2 linked regions of the Struthio camelus genome follow. The protein of the gene in region 2 interacts with the protein of the main gene of each other region in a pairwise test. Links are inferred from orthologs where the notes say so. Each region holds a gene or a part of one and is shown on either strand. Other genes may lie near its edges.

The links.
Region 1: the proteins of HOXA1 (region 2) and CCN3 interact in binary tests that used the Homo sapiens proteins (3 or more experiments, as listed by UniProt). The link is inferred for Struthio camelus from reciprocal best matches to the Homo sapiens genes HOXA1 and CCN3.

The regions. Positions count from the first base shown.
Region 1 is NC_090943.1:158,445,252-158,453,685, forward strand, and holds the start of CCN3 (CCN family member 3), read left to right. Parts: upstream 1-5,404; coding exon 5,405-5,467; intron 5,468-5,604; coding exon 5,605-5,833; intron 5,834-6,308; coding exon 6,309-6,560; intron 6,561-8,434. UniProt on the Homo sapiens protein: Immediate-early protein playing a role in various cellular processes including proliferation, adhesion, migration, differentiation and survival. Acts by binding to integrins or membrane receptors such as NOTCH1.
Region 2 is NC_090943.1:39,093,845-39,102,259, reverse strand, and holds HOXA1 (homeobox protein Hox-A1), read left to right. Parts: upstream 1-4,957; 5' UTR 4,958-5,232; coding exon 5,233-5,842; intron 5,843-6,304; coding exon 6,305-6,660; 3' UTR 6,661-7,719; downstream 7,720-8,415. Other genes in the region: HOXA2 (homeobox protein Hox-A2), read left to right, coding at 1-541. UniProt on the Homo sapiens protein: Sequence-specific transcription factor. Regulates multiple developmental processes including brainstem, inner and outer ear, abducens nerve and cardiovascular development and morphogenesis as well as cognition and behavior.

The sequences.
Region 1 (8,434 bases), about 120 Mb from region 2:
CATTTGATTTGAATGGCTTGTGCTAGCTGAGAATGATCACCAGGCTGACCCTAAATATTAGTTTAGGTATCCACTCATTCAGGTGACCACCACCATGCACACCTCATAGACCTCCTCCCAGCATCTCTCCTAGCTCAGACAGATGGGGCTGCTTCAGTTACAGTCACTTCGCTTGTGGCAGGAGAACCTCGTGTGCTGCTAACAGACGCTGGGGGAAGAATCGATGCAGTTTGTTACTAAGCGTGCTGCCTTGCTATTAATGTCACATGTCATGTATATGGAAAGCGCCCATTATATATCAATATAATTGATATTAAAAAATTACTGCAGTGTTTATATAATTTTTGTTTGTTCCCTGTTTAGGGCATGTGCAGTATCAACACCCTCAGTAGGTGATAGGAATCTGCAGCTGTCATCTAGACTAAGAAGGGCTAGCCAGAAATCCCAGATTACTGGATTACTTCAAGATTACTGGATTACAGATTACTGGATTACTTCAAGAAAAATACTGTGTGCTTGTGAGGTAGAAGAGTACAAGAAGGGGCATCAATTTACAGCATAATGCCGCGCAGTGCATCCACATTACACTTGTATTGGTAAAAAATGGTAGGACAGAAGAGGACAGATAGAGAAAGATAAAGAAGTGGTATTTATGACAATTTTACTCACTAAAAATGACATCATTTGCCGTACATGGAAAATGGAAGAGATCTCTGTGGGCCTGTTTGTTGTGAGGCAGTGGGCTTGGACATCTCCTGAGCCAGGCAGCTGGCTTTAAACAGTGAGATGTTGCTGTGAATCCTTGAAGGTTTCTAATGCTGGATATATGTCTAAACACCTCTGGATGTGAAGAGGATCAGCACCTAGAAACTCTCTAAGAATTAAGCCAGTTTTACTTGCAGCCTCTGATCCCAGCCTTTTAGACAGAGCTTCCTCAGAAGTTGCAGTGGTGAAACATGCATAAACCATCTGGTCTTGTGCAAGGCGATGAGTAAAAGTAACACTTTCAGGGCTATTAGCTCAATGGAGGTTAGGATCTGAATGAAAGAACATGTTCAGGCACCCCTGCCACAGATTTAGCCCAAGGCAGGTTTATGGCAATCCAGAGGGAGAAGTCTTTGCCTGGAAGGCTGTTACAGGGCAATGCAGAGGCTCGTGGCAGCTGTTGCCGAGTTTGGGATATGTCCTCTGCCCTGAGCACAAACCTGCATCTCTCTCAGACAGAAAAGACAGCTGAAAAGCACTTTGCGCCTTGACAATGCTTAAGTGACACATGAGACACATTACCTGGCTTCCTTAAAGCATTCACAGCAATTAGAAGTTGAATTTTAAAGCTAAGATTACAGAACACTTCAGCATTTGTTCTCCATGGGCCTCAGTTAGCCTTTTACATACCTATACAGGTTATGACCCAAACGTTTAGGTATTATAGATTACTGACTTGGTTTCTTCTCACTGGGCACCATGCAAGACTTTCCTTGTATTGAATTTAAGTACACTGGTAAATGTTCTTTTCGTTTATTTGATTCTATCTCCAGTTTTATGTGGTGAAGCCTTTTTAATAGATAAGAAGATATTTAAGGGTGTTGTGAAATAACCTCATTTGAAAAGGAGGTAACTTTCAGTGGCTGTGAATGACTGTTGGCCTTGAAAACCTCATCAGATTCCCATGCAGAGGGACAGACAAAAATGGACCTTTGTCCTCTGGCTTAGAGCCCTGCTTCTGGGAAAACTACAGGAACAGCCTTGTTTCTTTTTAGCAAATTTTAGTGCTTGGCCAACAGCACTGGTCATCCTGCTCACAAGCAAGGAGTGCTACTGTAAAAAATGGGTTTGCACTACCTAAATCAGAGTTATGAGGCAAAGAAGCAAAGGAAAAAGAAAAATAAAAAGAAAAAGAAAAGAAAAAAAGAAAAATAGAAAAAGAAAAAAAAAGAAAAAGAAAGAAAAAGAAAAATAAAAGAAAAATAAAGGAAGGTGAAATCCAGTGGATGACTGAAATAACCTCAAACCTACACCCAAGTAGTTAATAAGGTTTGAACAATCCTATTTTTCCTTGCCTGGTCCTGTTGCTTATGAGTGAGAAAATGAAGGGTTAATGTATGACTGCAGGTTACTAACCCTGTGCTGGTGAAGGCTACTTCCCTTCAGATGACAGATCTCTTTAGAAAACCAGCTGTTGCTACATAACTTCAAGAAAGGAATGGTGACTTTTGTCCAAAGCAAAACCTGTATATGACGATTCCTGTTTTTGTGCTGAGCACTGCTTTGGCTTAGAGCTACAGCAGCCTTGTAAATTCATGAGTACCACTTGTGTCATGTCTTAAGCTTAAAAGGCGTCCTGTTTTCACTAGTCTGTCTTCAACTTTTGTTTATTTTTCAAATACTTTCTCTTTAACAAGCCACAACAGAATCCAGCGCACATTATCTGCTGCAGTCAACTGGGGATATGGAATATCTGTATCCTAGAAAGACCCAAGAAAGCCTTGGGCAGAAAACAATTCCTGACAAGTAAAACACGTTAATAGATTTAGTCTCCCTTATGCTTGGCCTGGATCAGTCCCGCGTACTCTAAAATAACTTCACGGCACAGAGCACAGCAGTTATGTCTCCAAAACATTCCTAAGGCTTGACTTGTTGGGATCTGCGTATTTCATGGTCACACACACACAAATAAGCACCGATGAGTCTGGTATCTCTTCAGCTCATCCCAGGAGGTTCGTGCTGCAGAGTGCGAAGGGCTCCCCGTGCAATTTCTGCTTCCGACATGCCGATACACCGGGACCTCTCTGCTGATGATCAGCACCTACAAGTTGGCAAGCAAAGAGTTTATGAAGCGAGTATGTCACCCCTACAATGCCTTATGTTATCATCAGGGTCCTTTCATGCCCCCTGTAACACTGAAAGGTTGTTCAAAAAGTTCAAGAAGGGTTGAAACACAAGGGTCGAAAGCTGCCCAGGCTCCTGAGAGGTACTTACATTTGGGGTGACCAGTCTCCACAGACTGGACCAGGACGTAGTCTAATCCCTCGCCAGGCAGCTACAACAGAGAGGTGGCGTTGGCTTCAGCAGGATGTATAAATCGTGGTGTAAGGTCTAGCGCTTGCATAGGAGCTGGCATGCAGGCAAACCCTGAGTCGCTTACCGCAGACCAAGCGAGCAGTGACCAGCCACATGGGGTGGCAGTGGAGGGCTGCGGGAAGGCACTCGCCTCAGGGCTCAGGCACCACCACGCGCCCCGGGGGAAGGGCCACCAGCACGGTGGCACCCCAGGCCTTCCCACTGCTCAGGGACCCGCTTTCCCCTGGGGTGCCCACTCCCGTGAAGGGGCCGGGGAGCGGGACACTGTGAGGCGGACCACAAGCTGCCCCTGGTGGGGACCACAGGCTGCCCTGGGGAGGGGATCGCAGGGTGCCCCAAGGGAGGATCGCAGGCTGCCCGAAGAAAGGATCACGAGCTGCCCCGAGGGGGGATCGCGGGCTGCCCCGAGGGGAGGGGGGGCCCGGGGGGGATCGCGAGCTGCCCCGAGGGGGGATCGCGGGCTGCCCCGTGGGGGGATCGCGGGCTGCCCCGAGGGGGGATCGTGGGCTACCCCGAGGGGGAGGGGGGGCCCGGGGGGGATCGCGGGCTGCCCCGAGGGGGGATTGCGAGCTGCCCCAAGGGGGGATCGCGGGCTGCCCCGAGGGGGGATCGCGGGCTGCCCCGAGGGGAGGGGGGGCCCGGGGGGGATCGCGGGCTGCCCCAAGGGGGGATTGCGAGCTGCCCCGAGGGGGGATCGCGGGCTGCCCCGAGGGGAGGGGGGGCCCGGGGGGGATCGCGGGCTGCCCCGAGGGGGGATCGCGGGCTGCCCCGAGGGGAGGGGGGGCCCGGGGGGGATCGCGGGCTGCCCCGAGGGGGGATCGCGGGCTGCCCGAAGAGAGGATCACGAGCTGCCCCGAGGGGGGATCGCGGGCTGCCCCGAGGGGGGATTGCGAGCTGCCCCGAGAGGGGATCGCAGGCTGCCCCGAGAGGGGATCGCGAGCTGCCCCGAGGGGGGATTGCGGGCTGCCCCGAGGGGGAGGGGGGGCCAGGGGTGGATCGCGGGCTGCCCCGAGGGGGAGGGGGGGCCAGGGGTGGATCGCGGGCTGCCCCGAGGGGGGATTGCGAGCTGTCCCGAGAGGGGATCGCAGGCTGCCCCGAGGGGGGATCGCGAGCTGCTCCGAGGGGGGATCGCGGGCTGCCCCGAGGGGGGATCGCGAGCTGCCCCGAGGGGGGATCGCGGGCTGCCCCGAGGGGGGATCGCGAGCTGCTCCGAGGGGGGATCGCGGGCTGCCCCGAGGGGGGATCGCGAGCTGCCCCGAGGGGGAGGAGGGGCCCGGGGGGATCGCGGGCTGCCCCGAGGGGGGATCACGGGCTGCCCCGAGGGGAGGGGGGGCCCGGGGGGGATCGCGAGCTGCCCCGAGGGGGGATCGCGGGCTGCCCCGAGGGGGGATCGCGGGCTGCCCCGTGGGGGGATCGCGGGCTGCCCCGAGGGGGGATCGTGGGCTACCCCGAGGGGGAGGGGGGGCCCGGGGGGGATCGCGGGCTGCCCCGAGGGGGGATTGCGAGCTGCCCCGAGGGGGGATCGCGGGCTGCCCCGAGGGGAGGGGGGGCCCGGGGGGGATCGCGGGCTGCCCCGAGGGGGGATTGCGAGCTGCCCCGAGGGGGGATCGCGGGCTGCCCCGAGGGGGGATCGCGAGCTGCCCCGAGGGGGGATCACGGGCTGCCCCGAGGGGGGATCGCGGGCTGCCCCAAGAGGGAGGGGGGGCCAGGGGTGGATCGCGGGCTGCCCCGAGGGGGGATCGCGGGCTGCCCCGAGGGGGAGGGGGGGCCCGGGGGGGGATCGCGGGCTGCCCCGAGGGGGGATCGCGGGCTGCCCCAAGAGGGAGGGGGGGCCAGGGGTGGATCGCGGGCTGCCCCGAGGGGGGATCGCGGGGCTGCCCCGAGAGGGAGGGGGGGCACGGGGGGGGGGATCGCGGGCTGCCCCGAGGGGGAGGGGGGGCCCGGGGGAGATCGCGGGCTGCCCCGTGGGGGGATCGCGGGGCTGCCCCGAGGGGGAGGGGGGGCCCGGGGGGGGATCGCGGGCTGCCCCGAGGGGGGATCGCGGGGCTGCCCCGAGAGGGAGGGGGGGCACGGGGGGGGGATCGCGGGCTGCCCCGAGGGGGAGGGGCGGCCCGGGGGGGGCTGTCGCTTCGCGGGGCAGGTGGCGGGGGCGGGGGCGCGGGCCTGGCTCCAGCTCCAGCTCCAGCTCCAGCTCCAGCTCCAGCTCCAGCTCCAGCTCCCCGCCCCCGGGCCGCGCCGCCGTCCCCGACGGGCTCTATATAAGCGGCCGCAATGGCCCTGGCGGCAGAGGCGAGCGGCGCCGCGGGGAGGCCGGGTCGGGACCATGCCGAGGGGCGGCGGGCAGCGCCTGCTGCCGCCGCTGCTGCTCCTGCCGCTGCTGTGCCAGGCAAGTGCGGGCGGCCCGGGCCGGGGGCCGGGGGGGGGGGGGGGGGCGGCTGCCGGGCCCCGCGGCCGCGCCGTGCGGGCAGCCGGCGGCCGCGCCGGTGCCGTGACCGGGCCCTCGGGGCCGCTTTGTCCCCGCAGGTGAGCGGCCGGGAGGCGGCCTGCCCCCGGCCGTGCGGCGGGCCGTGCCCGGCGGCGCCGCCGCGCTGCCCCCCGGGGGTGCCCGCCGTCCTGGACGGCTGCTCCTGCTGCCTGGTGTGCGCCCGGCAGCGCGGCGAGAGCTGCTCCCCGCTGCTGCCCTGCGACGAGAGCAGCGGCCTCTACTGCGACCGCGGCCCCGACGACGGCGGCGCCACCGGCATCTGCATGGGTAGGTGGCGGCGGCGGCGGCCCCACTCGCGGCCCTTCCCCCGGAGCGGGGAGAGGCCCCGCCGCCTCTCGAGGGCCCTTTGAGCCCACGGGGCGAAATGTCCCACCTTTGCCCCGCGCCCTGCGGCCGCCCTGCCCCTGCCTGAGCCCGCAGGAGGCGAGCCCGCCTCAGCACTGCCCTTAGCTCCGCGCACCCAGGGGCTTTACGGGGTGCCCCGGGGTGCCGAAAGGTGGCCCCGCTCTCCGCTTAGGAGGAGCGCGGGCGCGCGGCGCGCCCAGACAGCAGGGCCAAGCTCTCCCCGTGAAGCGCCTAAGGATGCTACGGCGCCTTCGCTTGGGCTCCTGCGGGCGTGTGGCGGCGGGCAGCGTGAGCGCCGGCCCCTTGGCCTGCTGATAAAACACACCTCGGGGTTGTGAGAGGGACGGAGAGGGCCCTGACCGTCCCCCCAGTGACAGCCGTCCGCCTTTCTCACCAGTGCTGGAAGGAGACAACTGTGTGTTCGACGGGATGATTTACCGGAACGGGGAGACGTTCCAGCCCAGCTGCAAGTACCAATGCACCTGCCGCGACGGGCAGATCGGCTGCCTGCCCCGCTGCAACCTGGACCTGCTGCTCCCCGGCCCCGACTGCCCTTTCCCGAGAAAAATCGAAGTCCCCGGAGAGTGCTGCGAGAAGTGGGTCTGCGACCCCGAAGACAAAGTGATTTTGGGAGGTTTTGCTATGGCTGGTGAGGAAACTATAATTAACACAGTCATCGTGAGGGGAGGGTGATAGCGTGCTGGGAATGTCCATGGGCTTACCATATCCTGCTTTATGCTGTGGACTTTTTCTGACCCTTTTTTTGTTTTTTCTTTTTCTCATCTAGAGCAACTAATGAGTAGACCAGTGGTTCTGAGTAAAAGCAGAATTTTTTTAACTGAAGAAAAGATATTCAGAGAATAAATGTTTTAAAAAATAATTAACTTGAGTTAGGACCCAGTTCTGGAAATGCTGTTTATCTGATATAGAGTAGTTCCGTGAGTAGAATAAAGTGGGGACAAGCTCATAATCCTCCAAACATTATCTTCCTCCAAAAATCAAAGCTTCAGTCTTGCTAGCTGCTCTGCAAGAATATGTTACGTCTTAAATACCATTCAACACAGCCTGGTTTACAAGAGATTTTTTTTTTTCCCCTAAATTCCCCAGCTATTACTAGTGGTCAGCATGCTAGCGAAAATGCCAACAAATTCCTGTCTGTCTGTGCTAGAGCTCTCATCATTATTGCTGGCATTAAAAGCATTACAAAGTACTTGGAGAAGCAATGCTTGTAGGCACAGTTAGTGGATCTGAAAAAAAACATCCTATTCCAAAAAACAGAACTCATAAGTGCTTTTGCACTTTTCCTCAATCTCTTCTTATTGAATTATGTCTCCCTCCCCTTTAAATTAAACTATCCGGTTAACAGGAATTTCCAAAAGCTGCTTTTACTGGGAGTCAAGGGCACTGCATTCTCTCCCAGTCACTGCTCTGTGCGGTCTTAAGCAGTTAGCTATGCTGCAGCACAGCTAATCCATTTCAAAAAAACAAGCAAGAAGGATCCAGGACGATAAGCTCTAATAACTTTGCAGAATGCTGTGAAATGTCAGATGGGAGGCACGTAAGGCATAACTTAACATGTTGTCACTTTATAGCATCTTTCCTCTTCTTTTGTTTTTTGACAGTGACAGGCCAATCCATAACATGCCTGTAGGTGGATTACCTACATTATTTTTGGCCATGGTCATCCCTCTTGGATGTCCGCCTTTTTGGAGCTTTACCTTGCAAGAAGGCAAGAATGCGGCTGGGGAGAAGCTTATCAGCAAGAGTCGTAAGGGTGACACAACTCGCTGCACTTGGCTGGCTCCGTCATGTTGGCTCACTCTATTTACTCCTATAATAACTGCTGTACCAAACTGTAAAGTTGGCAATATTTCCATAATACAACTTAAACACTACCGGGAGGGCAGAACAATGACCAGAATAAATGATTGCTTTGAGTAGCTGTGATAACTCATGAAATTACTTTACTTCCCTCTTCCCTCATACCACCCTGACTATAATCTGTCAATAATTGATAAGGTGGGGTGACTATGACTGTAGGAACAAAACACTTTATCTGTTAGTTTATATAAATCATGCAGCCACTCTCAAATCATATCTAATGTCAATATTTTTGTGACTTAGAATAGATTGGTGATGCATTTTTGTTAAAAAGAATAAGGAATAATGAGTTATTAAAGTGGATTTCTAAACTTGATTAACAAATTGAGAGTAGTTCTTCCCATTTCGGACTTGACTGGACAGAAACTGTCTTCTCTCTCTAATTCAGGTTGTGGCAGAAAGGCAGAAATTTATTCTGCTTATTACACTGACATGCACCTATTTGTTGATCTTTAGATGTAGAAAGTTGCTGTCCAAGGCTCCTAAAAAGGCAACTTTTCAAATGACTGAGACCTGTCAAAATCATAGATTTTCGACTTTTTTTTTCTTTCTCATCATCTCATTTGTTTCCTCCCAAATGTAGAAGAGCTCAAATATGTACTGGATTCTCACGTTAAGTCTTTCTTGTTCTGTGGGATTTTG
Region 2 (8,415 bases):
ACAGACCCAGTGCAAGGAGAACCAAAACAGTGAGGGGAAATTTAAGAGCCTAGAGGACCCGGAGAAAGCGGCAGAAGAAGAGGAGGAGGAGGAGAAATCCCTCTTTGAACAAGCCCTCAGCAACGTCTCCGGAGCTCTTTTGGAAAGGGAAGGTTACACTTTCCAGCAGAATGCACTGTCTCAGCAGCAGGCTCCCAATGTGCACAATGGAGAGTCCCAAAGTTTCCCCGTTTCGCCTTTAACGAGCAATGAGAAAAATCTGAAACATTTTCAACATCAGTCACCCACTGTTCAAAACTGCCTCTCAACAATGGCCCAGAACTGTGCAGCTGGCCTAAACAATGACAGTCCTGAGGCCCTAGATGTCCCTTCTTTACAGGACTTTAGCGTTTTCTCCACAGATTCCTGCCTGCAGCTTTCAGATGCAGTTTCCCCCAGTTTGCCAGGATCTCTGGACAGTCCCGTAGATATTTCTGCTGACAGTTTTGACTTTTTTACAGACACACTCACCACAATTGACTTGCAGCATCTGAATTACTGAGAATTAAAGACGTCCTCTCAAGGGTCCTGCCTTCTCCTCCTTATTCTTCTTTATTTTTCCAGTGAATTAATTTTATTCCCCCCCTCCCCTTTTTCTCGGTCAGTATTTTCTGTTTATTACCTCCCTTTGCTGTGTTCGAGAGCCATTTTACCGTTTCTTATGAAGTTTTAGTTGTGTTCAGTTTTAACCGAGCCACATTCTAGGTCCTTCTATGAAAGCAATATATGAGGTCTGTAAGAAAGTGATCATATAGGAATTGTATCTTCACTTTCTTTTTATTTTTGTATTACATTAGGATGCGTTGTCATAAGTATTTTTGGTAGAATAAATTCTTGTTTGCTACAAGAAGCTTTCTCTTTTTTCTTTCTCTTTCTCCCTTTCTCTTTCTCTTTCTCTCCTTTCAAGACTGATAACATAACGGATATTTCTCCCCCTGCCTTCTATTATTAATTTACTAATAATGAAAATTCAACATTCTGACTATAATCTCTCCCCTTTTGGAAAGTACATGTTTTAGAGAGGAAAAAACACTGTCAAACTCTTTATTGCAAGGGTTCTCACAAGAAAAAAACACAAACTAAAACAACTTAGATAGAGGCTTCTTCCTTTTAATATATAAACGTAGCATGTTATCTCCGTGCGGATACAAAGCTTGGATATTCTAAACTGTAACAAAAGCATAACGGTGCACTTTTTTTTTTGTTGCAGGCAAAACATAAGCTAGACTTAGTCGGAAAAGTGTTTCCTGCAGAAACTAGCCTGTTACATACACGAAGGGCTCTTTTCGGAAAAAAAATCCTATTTTTCTAGAATACAGTACTTAGCAGCCAGCAAGCTGTTTCAGGAAGCGTATCTTAAAATATAAAACCTCACAGAGAGTGCGTTTGATTCGTGTCCACGTGCTGAGCGGTCCAAGAAAACAGCCCTAAAAAGAGAGGAAAAAAAAAGTTATTGCCTGCAAAATCAAAAAGGTGCCATAAAAGCATTAAAAAAAAGCATTAGGGAGAATACACCCTCCACTTGCTTATTTTGAGGGAAAGTGCGGGGACCCAGCGCAAGGTATTTTCTCTTTAAACCCGATTGCGAGCGGAATGGCTGATAACGAAAAGGGGGAACTCTTACTTTCCGAGTAGAAATTTCCTCAGGGCTCCCCGCTCTCTGCTTGAGGCAGCAAAGATGGGCGTAAAAAACCTCCAGCAAATTGCCTGCGACTCGCTGAGCGGCATTGCCGGAGCCCGGAGCGGGGGGCGAGCCGTGTCCGGCGGGCTGAAGCCGAGCAACAGATGCGAGCCGGCGGCTCCCGGCTCCGGGGGCGAGCAGAGCCCGAGGGATCGTTGGTCCCTGGCTGTGTATGTCTCTGCGTGTGTGAGTGTGAGTGTGGGAGTGTGAGTGTGCGTGTGCACACGAGAACGCAGCCTGAGCGAGGGTTTGGGGAAAGCACTTCGCTGCCCGTCCGTGCGAGGAGTGCTGTCTCCCAGCCCTGCAACACGTTGTGGAGCTGAGCTGCGTGGGTTATAGCTGGAAGGGCTGAACGCAATTCTTCCGAAAGTCATAAATCAAACTCTTTCTATGAATGAGAATGTCATCAAAGAGATCAATTGCAGGAACACATGCACAAATAAAAATCCTCTTACGTATTTGCCGGGGCTGGGGATCCCCGTCTAAAACCATTAAGTGAGAAGGCGTTTAGTCATAATTCATTTTTATTGCTCTTTTAAAACAACAGCTTGGCTGAGCTGCGGACGCGGCAAAACCTCGGCCCTGCTTCTTGTCCTTCTCTCTGCTCCAGCCCCGGCTCTGCGGAAAGCGAGTAGCCTCACCGGTATTTTAACTCCTGTGGCACTGGGTTAAACTGGATTGCAATGTGCGGGTATGGGCTGGGATTTCTTTTGTGCCTAGATATCTGAATACTGCTAACGCTTAAAAAACAAAACAAAACAAAACAAAAGAAACAAAGAAAAATATGCTACCAGATTTAAACTTTTCCCACACTCGGTTTAAACAAATCGGGCGATTCAGCAGACAGGAGCCGCCTAAGTCTCTCTCGATAAGCCCTAGGGCCATAGCGGGGGTACTGGGGGGTGGGAGGGCATGCGAGATCTCCCACGAAAAAGCCTTAAGCACCGGAATTGCCCCCTTCTCTCCCAGCTCTGGGCAGGAAATGGCACTTTCTGCACCCCGGCCCGGAGCGAGCCACAAAGGGGGCTCGGAGGGGAGAGGGGCCCGCCGGGCGCCTCTGGGAGCGGAGAGGGGGCAGCTCCACTCGGCGGGTGGTGGAGGGGCATTTTTCCCTCTGCTCTGGCCCTCCTTATTATGTTGCCCCCATGCACAGTATTGGCAGCAAAAATCCGAGGCACTGTGAGAGAGACAATGTAACAAAAGAGAGGGATCTCTGCTGAACAATGGCACGAATATACGAGAAAACAAACAAACAAACAAAAAAAGATTCCGGGATGCAGGAGGCTGTAAGAGAGGTGTTGTAATTTGGCAGGATTTACGGGTAAACCCGATCTATTTATAGCAAAATATGCCTTTTTCTTGGCCAGCTGTTGTAAAAAAGCCCTGAAAAGACGCCAGCTCTTTTATTAGTAAACAGTCCCAGCGGCCTGCCTTTTCCTTTGCCTTATGCAGTATTTATCACAACTGCTTTACAAGAATGAAATAAATGTGTTTACATCCGTTACCATAGCCAAAAATGGTGCCGTATAATTCCATAAATGCCTCTGGAGTTTTGTTGTTACTCCTCCCCGCCACGTCCCCACCGGAGTTTAAGAAACCGAACCTTTCCAGAGGGCTCTTACTCATTCGTGCCTGCGCAGTAAATGAAAGCAAACAGAAATACTAAGGGCATATGGTTAAGCATGGGCAGTCCCTCAGTTTTTGCTGGCCGCAGAGAGGCCTTGCAGATGGAGTGGGATAAGGGCTGACCTGACAGCAGTAGGAGAGCCTTGCACCCAGGAGAGGATGTTGTAGTTCAGATGGGAGGAGCTTGTGGGTTTGCGTGTGTGTGTGTGTGTGTGTGTCTGTGTGTGTGTGTGTGTGTGTGTGTGTGTGTGTGTGTTAAGTGTTTGTGAGCAGGGAGAGGTGGCAGGGTAGAGAAGCTTTTTGGGCTTCAGAAGAAAACAACAAAGCCTGAGAACCTAGCGATGTACGATCGGGCTGGAAATGCACCTGCAGGAATACAGAAGGCAGCTGCTCACGGAGCTGCTGCTGCTAGTGGGAGTATTAGTTCTTACCCATCTCTCCCCTAGGTTAACCTTTCGCAGGACGCCTCTCTGAAGTGTGCTGAAATCGGTTTGTTGGTGCCGTCCCCTCTCCCTACAGATGGATAGGTGCCCTGGGACGGGTGGATGCCCGATCTATACCTCCCCTTGCCTTTTTTGCATACGCAAAGCGAGTATGAGGTCGCAATTCAAATCCCAGCCGCCATCCCTCCTTTTCTACCCATGGACCCTTTTTGGGGGAGGGGGGGAAGGGGGAGTTGGAGTCGATGCTCAGTGCGGTTCCCAAGGGTCCTGGGGCCACCTCTGCCATTGGCCATCTGCCACCTCCCGCCACTGCCAGCCCGGGTGGCGGAGCCGGGACAAAGGGGACGGGGCGGCGGGCTTTGCATCTCCCCGCCGCTCCGCAGCCCCGGCCCCGGGCTGGCGGGCCGCGACCTGCGCCCCCCGGGCAGCTTTCCGCCCCCGCCCGGGCCTAGGGGAGTGCGGGGCGGCAGCAGTGCTGGCAGACGGGTCCCCGGCCCCGTCACCTTGGCGGGCATCTCCCATCTCCCTGCCACCAGCTCCCCCTCCCCTACCACAGCCCCAGGCTGGCGCGGGCGAGCCCGGCGGAGGTGTGGGGGGAGCGGGGAGCCGGGCCGGGGGGAGGCCGGGGGGCCCGGCCGAGCACAATGGCCGTCAGTCCCAAAAGCGCCTCATTTCCATGCTAATGTCCGCGGCCGCCTGGTGATGCGGCTGGACAAGCCCCTTTAACTCTTGGCGGCGCGTCGCGCTGGGCTCTGCGGCGGGGCAGCAGCAGCAGCGGGAGTGCCCGTCCCCAGCCCCGTGCCCGTGCCCATCCGCGGCCCCGTGCCCGTGCCCGTCCCCAGGCCTGATGCTCTCAGAGCCTGTCCCGGCCTCCCCCCGTGCCGTGGGTCCGGCTGCCGCCCCGCCGCGGCTCATGCCCGGGAGAGAGAGGCGGCGGCGGCGGCGGCGGGGGGAGGAAGTGGGTCGAGGGTGCCGATCGCCAGCCTGACAGCGCCGGCAGCAGGGGAGGCGCTGGGGCAACCCTCGGCGGGGACGCTGCGGCATCACTCACCCTGGAGGGGACGGCCGGTGGGCTCCGGGGCACGGGCGCAGCCGCCAGGCTCTCTGCTGCCTTCCCCTCTCGACGGGCGGGCGGGCGGGCGGGCGGGCGAGCGGGCCCCCCCCCCGGGGCGGCCACCGTGCCCCGCGGCGCCGCGCCGCGCCGTGCCGCGCCGTCGGAGCGCTCGGCGTTTAAATGCCCCCGACGCGGCGATCTATCAGCGGCAGGAGCCGGGAAAGTCCCGCAGGCGCCGCAGCCATTGGCTGCCGCCCCCCACGTGCCTCCCCGCTCGCTGTACCTTCGTGTCATTTTCCTCCCGGCCCCATGGAGGAAGTGGGAAAGTTGGCGCGGCCCCGCCGGACGCTGAAGACCCGGTGGCGGCGTGACAGAGGGACACGGCGAGGATGAGCTCCTTCCTCGAGTACCCCGTCCTCGGCGGCGAGGCCGGGGGCTGCGCCGCCCGCGCCTACCACCCCGACCACGGGATTACAACTTTCCAGCCCTGCGCCGTCAGCGCCGGCAGCTGCAGCGGGGAGGACCGCTTCCTCGTGGGCCGCGGGGTGCAGATCAGCCCCCACCGCCACCACCACCCCCCGGCCCAGCCCGCCGCCTACCAGCCCCACGGCGGCCTGGGGGTCTCCTACTCGCACGCCGGCTGCGGCCCGACGTACGGCGCGCAGGGCTTCGGCGCGGCGTACAGCCCCTACCCCCTCGGGCAAGACGCGGAGCTCGGCGCCGGCTTCCCCCCCTGCGCGCCCGCGGTGTACTCGGGCAGCCTCTCCTCCGCCGCCGCCGCGCAGCACCCGCACCAGGGCTACGCGGGGGGCCCCGCTCAGTACGTGCACCCCCCCTACGGACAGGAGCAGCAGAGCCTGCCGCTGGGCACCTATAACCATGCCCTGTCTCCTCTCCACGCCAGCCACCAGGAAAACGCCCGCTCCCCGTCCGCGGAGACCTCGCCGCCCGCGCAGACCTTTGACTGGATGAAAGTCAAGAGAAACCCACCCAAAACAGGTTAGTCCCCGGCTGCAGGACGGGAGGGCCTGAGGAGGGGGGGGGGGGCGAGCTCCTTTCTCTCTCTTCCGTCGGTAAAGCCAAGGCGAGGCAAAGCACAGCCCCCGCGGCCGGCGGCGCACAGGTGTCCCGTCCGTTTGCTTTGCAGGTAAAGCGCCCGAGACCCCCGAGAGCAGCCGCCGCCGTCTGCCCGCTACGCTCAAAGTCAGCGCTGCCTGTGCCTACCCCCCCCCCCCCCCCCGCGGTCATATTTCTTGTAATTCATAAACCACTTATCAAGTTTCCTCTGACACTAGAGGCTGAGTCCAGTTTAGCACCTCGCACTCCATCACTCACCCTGCCGGGGCTTCCCTCTTATCCTAAGAAGTTCTTGCTCCCTATCGCTTAGCCGGTGTGGACACATTGATTACGTCGCCTATAAATCACTTGCGCTTACTTAATGCTGGATGTCCCCTTTTGCAGGAAAGGCTGGCGAGTACGGCTTCGTGGGGCAGCCCAACACGGTCAGAACTAATTTCACCACCAAGCAGCTCACAGAACTGGAGAAAGAGTTTCATTTCAACAAGTACCTGACCAGGGCCAGGAGGGTGGAGATTGCAGCCTCCCTGCAACTCAACGAGACGCAGGTCAAGATCTGGTTCCAGAACCGCAGGATGAAGCAGAAGAAAAGAGAGAAAGAGGGGCTGCTACCCATCTCTCCCGCCACCCCCACGGGCTGTGAGGAGAAAGCGGAGGAGTTATCAGAGAAGTCCTGCTCGTCGCCCTGCACTGCCTCGCCATCCTCCTCTACCTCAGACACTCTTGCTACCTCAAACTGAGACGCACCTGGGTGCTCCCTGGCTTGGACTCGCGACTCCCAAGCCGCCTCCCTACCGTAGCTCGAACCGATTTAACGCTGTTGTGTGTGTGTGTTGGCTGGTTGGTCTCCTTCAGAGCCCCGGTGCCCCAAACGCCCGCCCCGTCGCGGGCAGCCGCCCGCTCCGCGCCCCCCCGGCCCCCGGGCCTCGGGGCCAAGAGGACATTTTCTCTCTGTTCCCCTTTGGCTGGAGGAGATGTGTTGGCACATGTGTAAGGGTCTCTCTCCTCCGTTGCAAAGACCTTTCTTCAAGTTCCCCCTGAGTGAAAGACAGGCTATCTAGGGTACATAACCTCACGAAGAGATGCACTATTGGAAGTGTTTACACGACTTACAGGACTTTCATCCTTTAATTTAATGTATTCTTTGTTCGCGTCTATGAGTTTGTTGCTTGTAAATACTTTGTCCGAGAGATTTATCTTTTTACAGATTTTTCTAGAAATGACGTTTAGATTATCAGGTTAAGCAGGGTGGGTGCATTCGCAAAACTGGATCCAATTTTATATTGTTAAAGCAGACGACCGTATCAAGTTAAACGTGTTAAGCTCAAGCAGATACCTCAAAGAGTAGCGCTATTTGTTTAAGTGTGACAAACAAGGCTTCAATTGCACTAGGTTTTGAAAACCTTACCCGGTGTGCTTTCCCTCCCCCCTCCCCCGACAGAAGTCTGTGCTGGATTATATTGAACCGAAGGGTATAACTGTCCAAAAGACCTCACCTCTTCCTGTTTTCATATTAACCCTCCTTTAGACTCGACGTCTTTTCAATCTAATCGTAAATGTGACGACTGGCCAAATGAATGTATATTTTATGTGATTCGTGTCTGGAAGTTTGCATGATGCACAGTGCTTTGCTGTACTCCGGGTACACTGAGTTCTATCAGTTGTCGTGTGTGAGCGAACTATCTTCCTCGTCTCCTGTACAATCATCAAAGGCTCTGCGATTCTGGGACTGAGGGAATCCAGGGCACAATCTACGGGTCCTTATAATGTCTGTAATAAATATATTCAACTTTCAGGTATCCCTTGTGTGCGTACCTCTGCGTGACGTCACTGATGAGTCACCGGCTCAGCTCAGCAGTTTACTCTCCATTATTTTCTTCTGATGGGGCCTTTCTCAGGGAGAAAGGGAGAAAGAACATCCCAACATTACTCCTGACGTGTTTTTTTTTTTTTTTTTTTTTTTTTTGGCCGGGGTCAGAGCTCGGGCTGTCCAGTCTGATTCATAACACAAACTTTCTTCCTTTTCTACACTCGAATAATATTATTTTTAGAAAATATAAGCCCTCCTCTCCGTCCACTGTAGCAAGGCGGAATTTATGATCCAGATCTATTTTTGAAGCACACACACGAGAACTTCCTGGGTCAAGTGCTAACCTTTTCACCTCGAGATGGATGTTGACACTTCTATAAACAGAGCACAATTCAAAAGCAGAAACTGTCTTCAGCCAGTCTCTCCTCACATCGCAGGCCCCTCGCTAAGGGCTGCACGTTTAATTAGCCCGGGCACTAAGCTGGTCCTGCTTCCCTTTCCTTCCCTCCCAAGCTGCCACCTCCAGGACCTGATCGGCTGGAAAGGTGGGAGGTGGCTCCCAGCTGCCTGGCAGTGTGCTTCTGGCAAACTCCCATTCCATGCCATCCCATCCCCCCGCTTTTTCTTTTTGCCAAAAAGAGCAAGTCCTCGCAGGTAATATCAGCCATTCCCAAGAGGTGTCAAA